3 linked regions of the Drosophila melanogaster genome follow. The protein of the gene in region 3 purifies or fractionates together with the protein of the main gene of each other region. This does not show direct contact. Each region holds a gene or a part of one and is shown on either strand. Other genes may lie near its edges.

Region 1 (3,052 bases), on a different chromosome or scaffold from region 3:
TATAAAACTAATTCTAAACATTCAGACTTTCTAATCATATTGCATAGTTTATGAGAGGCATAAGGACATCCTTGGTCTGGTCTAGAAATAGCCTTGAATGTGTCCACATGTCATGTGGACCAGTTTTTTTTTATGAATGAAAAAAGCACCACACCCAGGAGCACCGGGGCAATGCTTCACCTTGCTCTTGACTGCCGCTTTGCCCCAAACATCATAGTACATATATCGATTGTTCGCTTTAACTTTGGACCTGCGCACTAGCAGATACAGATACTCGTACCAAGATACATAGATACTATAGATACGCGTACTTATGTAGATGTTTTGGCCCCAGCTGCTTATCACTGGCACATTGACGACAATGAGCTTTATATGATGCAGAGACCGAACTGTTGCTTCCCACTGACGTCATGGGAATGCTGATGATTAGGGTTTCTTGCACCGAATGTAACCAAAATCCAAAGGCTGCATAATCACCGAGAAAAGCGATGCGAAGTTTTGTTTATCATGTAATTTGTAGTTGTATAAATGAAGTTAATGATAAAATATCAGATATCTGTGACTCCACTGTGGGTAAAGTCCTGAAACCAGTCGAACTGCTCCAGCCAGCGTTGCATCACGCCGCCAAAGACGTACAGACGCACTGGAACGTAGTCGACCTCTTCGTTCACATCGTCGGAGGAATTGGATGACTCGCGTTCGTTATCCGAATCGTCATTCGACAGAAGGACATCCAACGCAATGAGGCAGTGCAGCAGATAGATAACACTGGACACCAATGAGGCTGTCGCCTGGTCCCGCAGGCTACCGAAGAACGGATGGAGCGGCTTCTCCGGATATAGTAAATCATCCGGGTTCCTTCCATCATACCATATATAGAAATCCGTCTCGGCATCGCCCAGTGCCATCAACGATATTACCGTATATAGAACAAATCCGATCAGAGGACGCACAACTTCCTCAACGATCGATGTGCGATGACCGGTGCAGAGATTTATGCTGGCAAAGAGCGTTACCACTGTGAATATGTAAAAGAAGGACATATAAAAGCTTTGGATTAGAACATCTTCCCATTTCATCGTTGTCAGATTGACGAAAACAAATGCTTTCAGTTGGTAGTACAAAACGAATAAGTTGGCCGTCGTCTCCACCATGTAGAAGAGAAAGAGCACCGGGCGCATTTGATACAAGTAGACCCTCATTTCTGCAGTCGCTTCGAACGCTTGACAAAACTAACTACAATAAGTCTGTGCGACAGGTGTACTATGTTTGAAGTGAAACGCTTTAATTCCAGCTCAAAAATTAAAAAAAAAAAAAAATAACAGAATATGTAGAGCCAGGAACTAAGCTCAAGTCAATTTGGTCAAAAAGATTTGGCTAAAACTACATAAGCGGCCCAAACGAATGGTCAAAACGAACTGACTAAGATGAAAGACCAAAACGAAATAACCAAAGCAAGACAAAAACGAAATGATATAACGAAATTAATGGCCAAAACCGAATGACCAATACGAAATGGACAAAATGCCATAACCTAAAGCAAATGGTCAAAAATGGTCAAATGATCAAACGGAAGGAGCAAAGCGAGGTAGTTTCGAAAGAGCTTCATTCTACTAATTTACAATTTAATTCAGATTCTTGAAAATATGTTCATTTATAAGAGTCAAAACAGTTAAAACAAATAAGAAATGTATAGGCCATAGGTCTGCTACAATTTGTTAATGGTTTACATTCTGCCCAAAGGGTTTCCACAAAATGCACTTTGTACCCGGAATGTACATATGTATGTACATACATATATGTAGTTCCCATTAGCGAACTCGAAAGACACGCTTTTGTTGTAGCCTCGGTTTCTTTCTCGGATGGAAAGTGCTGCTTTGGGCTCGGCTCATCTCGTCTGATCATAAAAAACCACTTCACTGCGGCGGTTGGTGCTTCTGTTGCTTCGTTTGCTTCTGTTGGCCGGACGGACTGCGTCTGGAAACAGTAGCAACATTTGCCTGCCAGTTTGATGCTGTTGACTGCTGTTGACGGCGATTACGTTGATGACGCGCAGACCGCAACGAATTTACGCGCAATTCTCCACCGTGCTCCAAACTTCAAGCTCCAAGCTTCAGATTCGGCTCCAGCTCCAGCTTCATCTGAAGTGGCTACGGGGTGGGGGTAAGCATTTAAATAAATGTTTGTACACACGAGCCGCTCATGAAACGCCAAAAAGTTAGTACACTTGTACAGGAACAATTGAATTTTGGATGTAATATTTAATTATGTACTTTGGTCAAATAGATTGGTGTAATCATAGGACCTAAGCTAACTTTTGATTTTTAACTTATGCAAGTTCAAATACTGGTTGCACTTTTATACATACTTTCCTTTCATATTAATCAATGGCTATAAATGCAATGCTACATTCGTTTTTTTATATATATATTTGAGTTCAATGACCTTTAGGAAATTGAGATAAGTTGGCAGTACCCTGCGAATGCTCCGACGATGCGAATCGATAAAAAGTAATAAGTAATAAGTAATCGATATCCTTAGCGCCGTGTATTCCCAAGTTTCCGCGCAATTGTGTTATTTATTTATTTTTTAGTTTAAATCGCGTGATTTTGTGTCGAATATTTTTCCGAGGGTGTAGCTTAATCCGTGTGTTGGGCAAAAAACTACAAGAACGGCCAGAAAAATCACAAAGCCCTGTCTGCTATTGTTGTTGTAGCCACTGTATTGCCTGTTGCAAGCACATGTGTGTGTGTGTGTTTGTGCAAAGTAAAAGGGTTAATTCATTTAACCATTTCGACTGCGTCATCTCTTTGTGGCTTCTTAACATAAAAAAGGCTGAATGCTGCTGCAATTTTGACAAGCGAACGCACCGCATTTTAGCGACTTTAAGTGCAACAACAAAAGAGGGCAGCTGCTCCTTACGTACATAAATACATATATGTATGTACATATGTATGTATGTACCTGTGTACACATTTTATCTTTATTTTTTTCCCGCTTGAGATTCCAGGGATCGCACAGTAGTCACTTGCGACTTTTTCAAGTTGAACTT
Region 2 (4,865 bases), on a different chromosome or scaffold from region 3:
GTGTTCGGATTTGGGTGCTTGGGGCTTTTGCCAGTGTGTGAGTGTGTGGAAATTCGGAAAATCGGAAAAGAGAACTTCGGTTTCCGCGCACCGAGGGCCGCCACAGTCATTTGATCCCAGAGCACGCACCGAAAAAAAAAATTGAGTCAAAAATTCCGCTTATATACCTGACTTGATATATAGCGCCTGTGTGTGTTGCCTATATTATTGTCTTCATTTTTTTTATTTTTTTTGTTCATTTTTGAGGCCTTTTGCCAAAATCAACACGACCGAGGCGAAACGAAACGATACGAAACGAAAATTTTCATTGACGTAATTGTATTTGGCCGTTTGGCGCTGTCCATTTTTATTTTTAAATTTATGAAATCATAGCGCTCGCACCAGTTTTCATCTCAAATGAAACGCATAAAAATATGGCGGTTTTGAGATATTCAAGGTGTTGTCAAAAGCTTCAATAGCAGGCAGTGGCGAGATTGCAGTTGTAAGATGATTGTAATGACTCGACTGATTGACTGACTGATTGACTGACTGACTGACTGATTGATGGATGGCGCATCGAAGCGAAGCAGAAAGGCTGAAAGAACTTGTGGCGTTCGGATGGACCGAAGCTTATGTAACCTTGCAAATAACAATCAGGTGATTGCCTTTTTTAATTTTAAATTTTAATTAAAATTTTAAACGTTTTTTTCTAAAAAACTAGATTGAAAGCATTGACATAAACTTTTGAACCTGAATTTCATCTATGTTACTATTCCAGTTTCAAGAATGTTAAAAATATCTTTTAGTTTCATGGCGGATAATTTGTTATGTAAACAATCATAATCATTTATCTATATTATTTGAAATATACTTTAAATGGTAATAACAGGATATCTTAGTTCAATATCCACATTTGCAAGGCCACCGATTTCGGAAGCATTAAGATACAGATACTCGGCTGTGTGAAGCAGTTAGGCGGGAATCGGCTGTAGATAGTACAGTATGTGGTCCGTATATGGTACCAACTTACTTGTTCGGCTGTAGTGATGATCGTAGATGGCACGGGGCGAGTAGCCGTAGGTGTCGCGGCTCACTGGCAGATATCTGTAGCCAGAGGACTGGACGCGCTCATTGGCGGTGGCGGGCTCGTCATAGATGCTCCTGTAGGAGGGCGAGTCCAGGTAGGAGCTGTAGGGACGAGAGGCACGGGGCGCCTCGTGGGCACGGATATCCTCGGAGCCTATAAATAGTTGTTTGGATAACGACGCGTTAGTTCATTGCTTTTCAAATATTTCGGCTATTCTATTCTCACTATTTGGCTCAATGCCAGCGCTGCAGAAATGTATGATTTCTATTCGGTTTCTATCATAGATGCGCCCCCTGTATGTGTATCCTATATTTTAGCCTATTCTTTGTTTAAGGCCTGAGCATATATATTTTACAAATTTCTCTCTATATATTCGAATATACTATGGCGAAAAGCTTTCCCAGCAGAGCGTGTCTAAGTATATAGCTTGGCTGATATGACACCTGCCAAAATAAATAGACTATACACATATAGGCTAAGCTATTTGTGTTGCTCACTGGCGACCAGAGTTTAATAATATCACTTTTGAGTGTCCCTTAATCATATCGAAATGGGAACACTTCGAGTTAATCTTCAATTGTTTTTTGAATTATTTTGGAACTATGCAAACTCCCTACTATTGTGACTAAGCAATCAATAGTAGTTTTGAATAACTATCCTATCTTTTAATGTAATTTTTGAGCTTATTTAGTGAATGCTTACCCTTCAGGGACCTGATGTAGGACTGCCAGAATTTCGCCTTCTTGCTGGGGCTCTCATTGCGCCCAATCATTTCCAAGTGGTTTTTGAACATTTTGATCGATTTGTTTTGTTCTGTTCACGAAAAAATCGTTGAACTCGTTCGCTGTAATAAAGTTGGGAAGAGAGATGGCTTAGCAATTTTCCAATGTGTTTCAAATTTCCTTTCCGCCTATTTTATTTTATTTTTTTTTTTTGTCCGTTTTCAATTTAATCTATTTCCCGGGAAATGCCAGGCAGCACGCACGAATTCGAATCGCTTGTCTCTCGATTGATGGGATGTTTTCTCAGTTGAATTTTTTGCTTTCGCGTTGAAAGTCTCTCGGTTCGAAAATAAACAGACTGTGTGCCACTTTAGAGCAGTGCAAAGTTTATAAAACATATACATAAAATCTAATATAATACCGCGATCGGGCAACAGCAGCTAACGCAAGATCAATCTCACTAAAAATAAATATATTTCGGTTCGGTTTTTGTGATTTTTCATGTATCGTGGTATTCTCCTGGTTGCTCGAATATAAAAATATTTTTTTGTTGCATAGCAAATTTCACACTTCTGAGTATGAGAACAAATATTCTAGGTGTCGTCAGTGTGTGCGTGTAAATGGGTGAGTGGATGTAAGTGTATCTGTGTGTAAGCTGCAGCTAAATTGGGTTTTATTTTTAAATGTCCTTGAGTTGAAATCGTTCTGTTATTCTGGCTTTTAGCGGAATTTACTTAAGTATCGAAGAAGTGTGCAAAGTCTAAGAACAATTTAGTTGAAGTATGTTTAAAATAGGCCTTTATTATCCATTAAACTAAATTAATTTTGAATTTAATTCAATGTGGGATTTTTGTTTTTTATATTTCACTGCACAAACTCTTGATGAGCTCCAACACTTCGGTATCAAATGTCATTGAGTACGATCTCTCTTATATAATTATAGTCAATGTCTTTTCGCTATGGAACATATCGGATCATTCATAATGCGATCATAATTCCATAATTATTTCACCAGTTAATTGTTCGTCTCCACATTCAGATGTGATGGTGCACTTTATTTAATTTGATTTTATTGTTTTTCATTTCGTTTATAATTATTTAATTTACTATTCAGTTGTATGTTGTTTAATATGTTTCGGGTTCGCTTACAATTTAAATTTACTCCTAAAAAATAGCGATCTATCCTCAACGAAGAATTTTTTCAAACTGCAAACCCCAAGAAAATTCGCCTCACCAATTTTCCTCGTTTCAGAATTTTGCCATTCCGTTTCGGCACCAAAAGCACGGCGCATTCCTTTACGGCGTAGGTTGCTCTATCCGTGAGCGATTTTCATCGCATCTGTGTGGCAAAGCTCCGGAGATTGGTTATGGGAAAGCTTTCCCACCACATTCTGATAGATCGTGTGGTGGCACCCACTCATTGTTTGCAACGATTCAATACCGAAATCGCGATGACGCTGGCGATGATCATAAAAAGAAAGCCAGCCAAGTCATACCACACATACACAATACATATGAGCCCATATTTCTTTCAGAAAATCCCACACCCTATTTTCTGTTTTTGTTTTTCCTATGGTTTTTCATAATTTTAACATATTCTTTGAATGTTTCAAGGGAAAGGCGTCACTTGTGGTATTGAATTGATCAGTGAACTATAAGCTCTAACTAATACATTACAATATTTGGTTTTTTGTAACTAACTAATTCAAAATGTGGTTAGAGGCCGATGGAATTTTTGCCATAAAAGCATTTAAATTCCGTTTATTTGTTTATGTTTTCTTTTGGCTTTGGCATTAGCTATAATTTAGTTTCCTGATAATGGAAAAATCATTTCCAGCAACATGCCCACACAGGTAAATAAACAAAACTGGTCCAGATACATTTAACCAAATAATAGATACTTTAAGCACACAATATATTATTTATAATGAAATCTGTATGAATAGTTTGATATTTTCTAGCTTGTTATGTAAAATTTGCCGTTAATTGATTATTTAAAACATTAGTAACTCATTTTTTTCGATTATACCCTCCTGTAGGGTATATCTTTTTTGCTCACGTGCGACCCAATGATTGATAATCTAAACACAAATTTTCCAGGGAAATTCCTACGAAAACGAATAAACAAAGATGGGTAAAGCTTCCCCCATCATATACAATTACATCGAAACGAGTTGAAGGGCAGATCTGGGAGTACATATGTTTCTAATAATAGTAAATACATTCATGGAGATCATGTTGACCTTTTCAATCGTGCAGATCGCTTACAGAATTTCCTGCATGTGTTTTCTTTTTCCGCCGATAAACTCAAGGCCAAATGCACTTGCATCCAAATGTTCTTTTGACTTTGTTTGTTTAGCTTATATAAATCTTGTTTGTGAATTTTACCCTTAAACAGGCGGGCGGCGTCATTTAAACTTGAACTTGACTTTGAATGAACCGAATGCGGTTTGATGAACCAAATCGAAAATCAAATGAAAATGCACAAAAACTCACGGGAAATTGGGAAATACCTGGCAAAGGTTTTTCTTTCGGCCAATCAGTGATTTCGGTGATGTGATTCAACTTTTACTTTCTGGCACACTTTTTTGGCTTCACAGAACAATGAATTGAGCAACTTTTTATTTTACTTTCGTTTTTTTTTCAGGTTTTTCATTTTAATTTATTTTAGTTTATTGGCGCTTGATTGTGTTTGTTCCAACATCTTTGATGTTTTGCTCAAGGAGACACAAAAATTGGCTAGGAATTGCATACCCTTAAAAGGAATCTCAAATAAAATTTAGTTATTTTAAAAATATTTTAATTGGCCTAGCGGCTTACAAAATAATTATCTTAGAGAAATTTATGTCCCTTGGGAAATGGGGTCAAAATGTAAGCTCATTATTTAGAGGGCACATATGCAAGCAACGTCAAACAATTTGCTTTCGCAAATTCGCCATATTTTATATCGCAGTTTATACCCAAATTAATTGCAAACTGCATTTAATTTCAGATGAGGAGAGCAGACATTTAGCTGTCAGAAAGTCAAATGCACTGTGAATGCATATAAATTATATACATATTATTACTTTCGCACT
Region 3 (4,691 bases):
TTGGTGTATCCCTATACTCCATAACATTTCGATAAATATTTGAAAACAAATATAGTCGCAAATAACGATTTTTCAATATGCAGTAATTGCAGTAAATCATATGCATTTTAATATAATTAAAAGTAAATGAAGCCTTTTAGTAGTTCGTAGAGTCACACTGGAAGGATCTAAGGCAGCCCTGGTTTTTGAAATTGATTTAAATTTGAAAAGTATGAAAATACTGCACTTTCTAGCTTTTGTTATAGAGTTAATCATAGTTCTTTTATAATGCCCTATAGATAAGAAAACAAAATAGAGCCAGTTATTTATTGTACTTTGCCAAAAGGCGTTAGCCTATTGGTGGGCGTGTTGCTTAGACGCAAATGTTTCAGTGCTTTAATGCCCACAAATGGCAGTAATTTAGAACTGTAACCACAATTTCTTATTTCCCACCCATTTCCCCAGTTACGAAATTACTTTCTCCACTCCCCCATTTCTTTGGGCCGGCGTCGTCATTTCTCTTGTCACGTAGGCCAAAACGGCAATAGCTGACGAAAAACTCGTGCGGCAAATTGATAAGCAAACAAACGAGCTCCACCCGGCATAAAATCGGCAAATCGGCAAAATACCGGCCCCAAATGCCGGCTGTATGGATGAGAACGAAAAAAACTAATACCGCTCCAAACTTCAATTATCACTTTTGTTATTACGCTAATTGCCGGCAGATAACAACTGGACGCTTTTTTCTTTATTTTTTTGCCAAAAAAATGCGAATTTTGTTTTGCACATGTGCAAATCAGAGAATGTTTGAATGTGTGCGATCAGCCGATTGCACTTATCACGAATGAGAGTTAGAGCCACAAAAGCCGGTTGTTATGGGCTGGGGTATTCGACGAGATCGGGGGAGTGGGAGATGGGAAAACGGACAGATAGTTCATCATGTGACACCGCTCGGTGACTAACTTTCTTGCCAAATGCAGGAAAATTATACACACAGTCGCATTAGCACCTTCGAACCATAACGATCACGGAAACGTAGAGCTAAATTGGTCTAATTCAACAACTGATAGCGATAAGATTATCGGGTTTGCAATGATTGCGTCCCAAAAGTGCGACTACTGTTATCGCCAAGATTTATGAAATGCAAGAAAGTAGCTTTGCTTGGTGAAGGTGTTGTTATTAGCATTGCATAACCATTAAAAGCCAGTAAATTTATTTGTATTACCCAATCCCCCAAAGCTCGAATCACATACCAGAAACTTTTCATTTAAAACGTACTTAGACCTTTTTCTGAATTGCAGAATATTTTTAAGCTTAACTCCAAAAAGGATCTCATTACGCCCCCAAACTACAATTCACCATTAACACTACCCAGCCGAAAAGTAGGCAACACAAAACGTTCATCCGCCCTGTGGGGGGCACAGCAGTGCTTGCCAAACTGTGGAAAACCCCTTTTGCACTTACCGTATTTCATCGACAGCAAAAGTTAAATACCACAAAGCGAACATTTTGTATTAGCTGAAATTGAGAGAAGATCGAATGAGTAAATAGTTAAGTGATTTTCAAAGCAATTTGACCGCTAATGTATACGAATTAATTGGACTATAAATGGCAATTTCCACACCACATGCACTTGTTGGACTGGCACTGAATCTGATTCACCCAGCGACCTCGAAAAGCGCAACAAATGACGTCGCCGTCAAGCAATGCAAAAAAAAAAAACTCAATCGAGCGAGGCGCTCATCAGAAAAGTAAGTTCCAGAGAGCCAGAGCTCAATTAAGACCCAAGGCACACAGATAAAAAAACAGTTGAACAGGCGAAAAGACAGCAGTGAATATATGCCGGCATTATTCAAGGTTTATTTATAAACAAAAGCGCGCATGGGTTTGCAAATGCAAAATGCAGAATGCCAAATTCGCAGAACGCTGAGCGCCGAGGCACGTGAAGTCGAGACTTTTGGGCAAACGGCCAGAGATGGGAAACAGTACACAGAAAAAACCTCATAAATGGGAAAATGAAAATGTTTTGTCATAAATTTGATTTCTGAATTTCTGAATTTCTTATTTAAACTCCTCCCCAATTGAAGCCTACTAACGCCAACATTATTAAAGTTTGCCTCAATTAAAAAGTTATAAATGAAAGTTTCTTTATATGAAATATTTGAGGCACCTGCCTAGTATTTGGTTTGCAAAGTTTATTTTTAAGATATGTCATAACATTTAATATGTATTCTCACAAGCAAACAAATTGCAAATTTTCCTCTGTGCACTGCAGATCAATTCGGAAAAAGGGGAACTTTTTGTGCACCGGATGGCGCCCAATGGTCGAAAGGGTTCTAAATTTAGATAGTGCTGCCATCGATCAATTAAATATGATTATTTTGCGCACTGTTTGCAGTCCCCTGAGCTTTGTTTATCCCTCGGATTTGAGCAAAGGCAAGCAAAATTCACCATGAAGCTCCGTCTGCGTTTGTTTTCTTTTGCACACGCGGCGTATGAGCAATCTGCGATGGTAATAGCACACTCAGACTCTGACAGTTACGTCACATCGCACGGCAAACGTATGAGTGGGTGGCTGGGGCGTGGAAAATGGGTGGGTGGTGGTGCCTAAGAACACTCATTCCCATAACACTCATTCACTGTTGCAGCATGCCACACATAACAAACAACTGGGGACTTGCAGCATGACCCCTTCTGCGTGCACTCACCTTTTGTGCCTGTGTTGGATAATAAAACGACTAGAAAAAGTTGCAAGTGCTTTTCCGGAGGGTTTTCCGTTCGATTTTTTCGTATATCAAAAGGTTCGTTTCGTTTAAATGCTTCACAGCTGGTCAAATATCGAGGACTGGTCTCGATTGTGTGTTGTTTGATTTTGAGTAAAGGTACAAAATTAATTTTCTCTCGACTGGCACTCTTCTGCTGTTGAATGCTTCTTTCAAGTTTTTTTCGACTGTCGTGCTCCGTGCGAAAATCGACTGCTCTACTGGCGGCAAAAGCGACGAGACTACGGCTACGACGGCATCCAACTGAGAGAGCCCCAAAGAGAATGGGGAGCACGGAGAGCGCCGACGCCAATGTTTCCTAGCTGTGGCTGCACTTGCGACGAAGCTTTTCTCACGAGATTCGTTTCCCAACGAACCCACGGGTTCTGTGCCAGGTACACCCGAAAAAAACTTAGAAGACTTTAATCAGATTCCAACAGAGAGGGTTCAGAGTTAACTACTATAAAGGATATACATATTTATTAGAGGACACTAGCAAATAATTAAATGTAGATATTTCAATGTAGTAATAACTAATAGTAAATCTATGAATTTTCTGTAACTAATTAATTATTTTTCTCTGTGCACGATTTCAATATTTATTTCCGTGTACTCTCCGATTCGGAATGTTACTCATAGGCTTACGCTATGCCACCGCTATGTGTCAATAATCGCGTTGAACCTGGTCAAAAGGCTGCCTAATCAATAAAAGAAAAGAATTTTCGGAAACAGTTTTTGGGCACTGGACGAGTCACTTTTCCAATTGGCACTATCAGTTCAATGTTTACTATTTATTTTGCTTACTGCAGCGTTTGGCCCAGGCCAAAACTATCAAATTTGGTCGAAAAAGCGCTGCTGACGCCTTTCGCCGGTTGTCTGTCGTGGGCAAATAAATCCAGATAATAAACTCGAGCGTACTGTTCAGTCATTCATTCAACAGCGCTATCTATTTTGCAAAGCCCACTTAATTGGCCTGGGTGATGATGATTGGGGTCTTATCGCTCGCCGAAGACTCTGCAGTTTGAGAGCCACTGCAACGGCAAAGATGCAATGGCAAGCGCACAGAGTCCGTGAATCCCGTGGACCAGGTTGCATAATGATACGTACAGCTGCTTACATAACCGCGGCAGCGAGAAAGGCGACCAGAAACAAGGTCAAAAGTTCAAGGACTGAGAAAAGCTCGAAAACATCCTGGAGCGCTTGCGTTGCTCAGCGGAAGTTCCTGCGAGTGTGGGTGTTCTGTTTTTGTTGACAAAAAGTTTTTATTATCACGAATTATGTACTTTTAATCGGCTACCTTCGGCCTACAGCACTAAATATTGTATAACACAACCCATGAAGTATGCAACGAAAATAAAGATTAAAGCACTTGAAAAGGATAACTTTCGAGCCCCTTCCGTAAATAATTAGGAGCACAATTTTGATTTAAGTTTCAAACATTTTTTATTGGTTTTTCAATTGAATGCATTTTGTTTGCTACGCTTTAATTGGTTTATATATCTTGGTTGTCTTACATTGTAATGATATTGCATATGCCACACAAACTGCTGTTGGCCTCGGTTGATTAAGCTTTAAAATCTTGCACAAAACATAATCATTGCAAATCAAATGGAAATTGACTTTGAATAAAACGCTTGCTTTCATATATTTTAAGCTATGTGCATTTTGTATGTGTATTATTTTACTACATATCGATATATAATTTAACATTTGAATCATTCTCATCTTCACTTTTCATCCTGACTGGAATATCAATCTAATTCCGCACGCTGTTGATTCACTCAAACACTTCGGTTCAAAACTTTGGTTCCCCCGCGTTCGTCCTTCGTTAACCCGCTAAGCTAGCTACTACTGGATCTGATCCGATCTCCTATAGTTCATTTTGAATTCTTCTCGTTGGCCATTTCATTTCAGATGGTCCGGTCGGTACTTATACTGGTTCTTAGTTCC

Evidence for each region. The genes of interacting proteins can lie anywhere in the genome.
Region 1: the proteins of Argk1 (region 3) and CG14315 purify together in Drosophila melanogaster (affinity purification with mass spectrometry, with the first as the bait; one large-scale study listed by BioGRID). This does not show direct contact.
Region 2: the proteins of Argk1 (region 3) and Mf purify together in Drosophila melanogaster (affinity purification with mass spectrometry, with the first as the bait; one large-scale study listed by BioGRID). This does not show direct contact.

The regions. Positions count from the first base shown.
Region 1 is NT_033777.3:18,156,920-18,159,971, reverse strand, and holds CG14315 (uncharacterized protein), read right to left. Parts: upstream 1,272-3,052; 5' UTR 1,203-1,271; coding exon 549-1,202; 3' UTR 501-548; downstream 1-500.
Region 2 is NT_033777.3:15,177,271-15,182,135, forward strand, and holds the start of Mf (myofilin), read right to left. Parts: upstream 3,001-4,865; 5' UTR 2,938-3,000; intron 2,081-2,937; exon of another isoform or gene 2,052-2,080; intron 1,911-2,051; 5' UTR 1,860-1,910; coding exon 1,769-1,859; intron 1,220-1,768; coding exon 1,010-1,219; coding exon of another isoform or gene 951-1,009; exon of another isoform or gene 1-950.
Region 3 is NT_037436.4:9,063,021-9,067,711, forward strand, and holds the start of Argk1 (arginine kinase 1), read right to left. Parts: upstream 3,008-4,691; 5' UTR 2,688-3,007; intron 1,498-2,687; 5' UTR 1,488-1,497; coding exon 1,444-1,487; intron 1-1,443.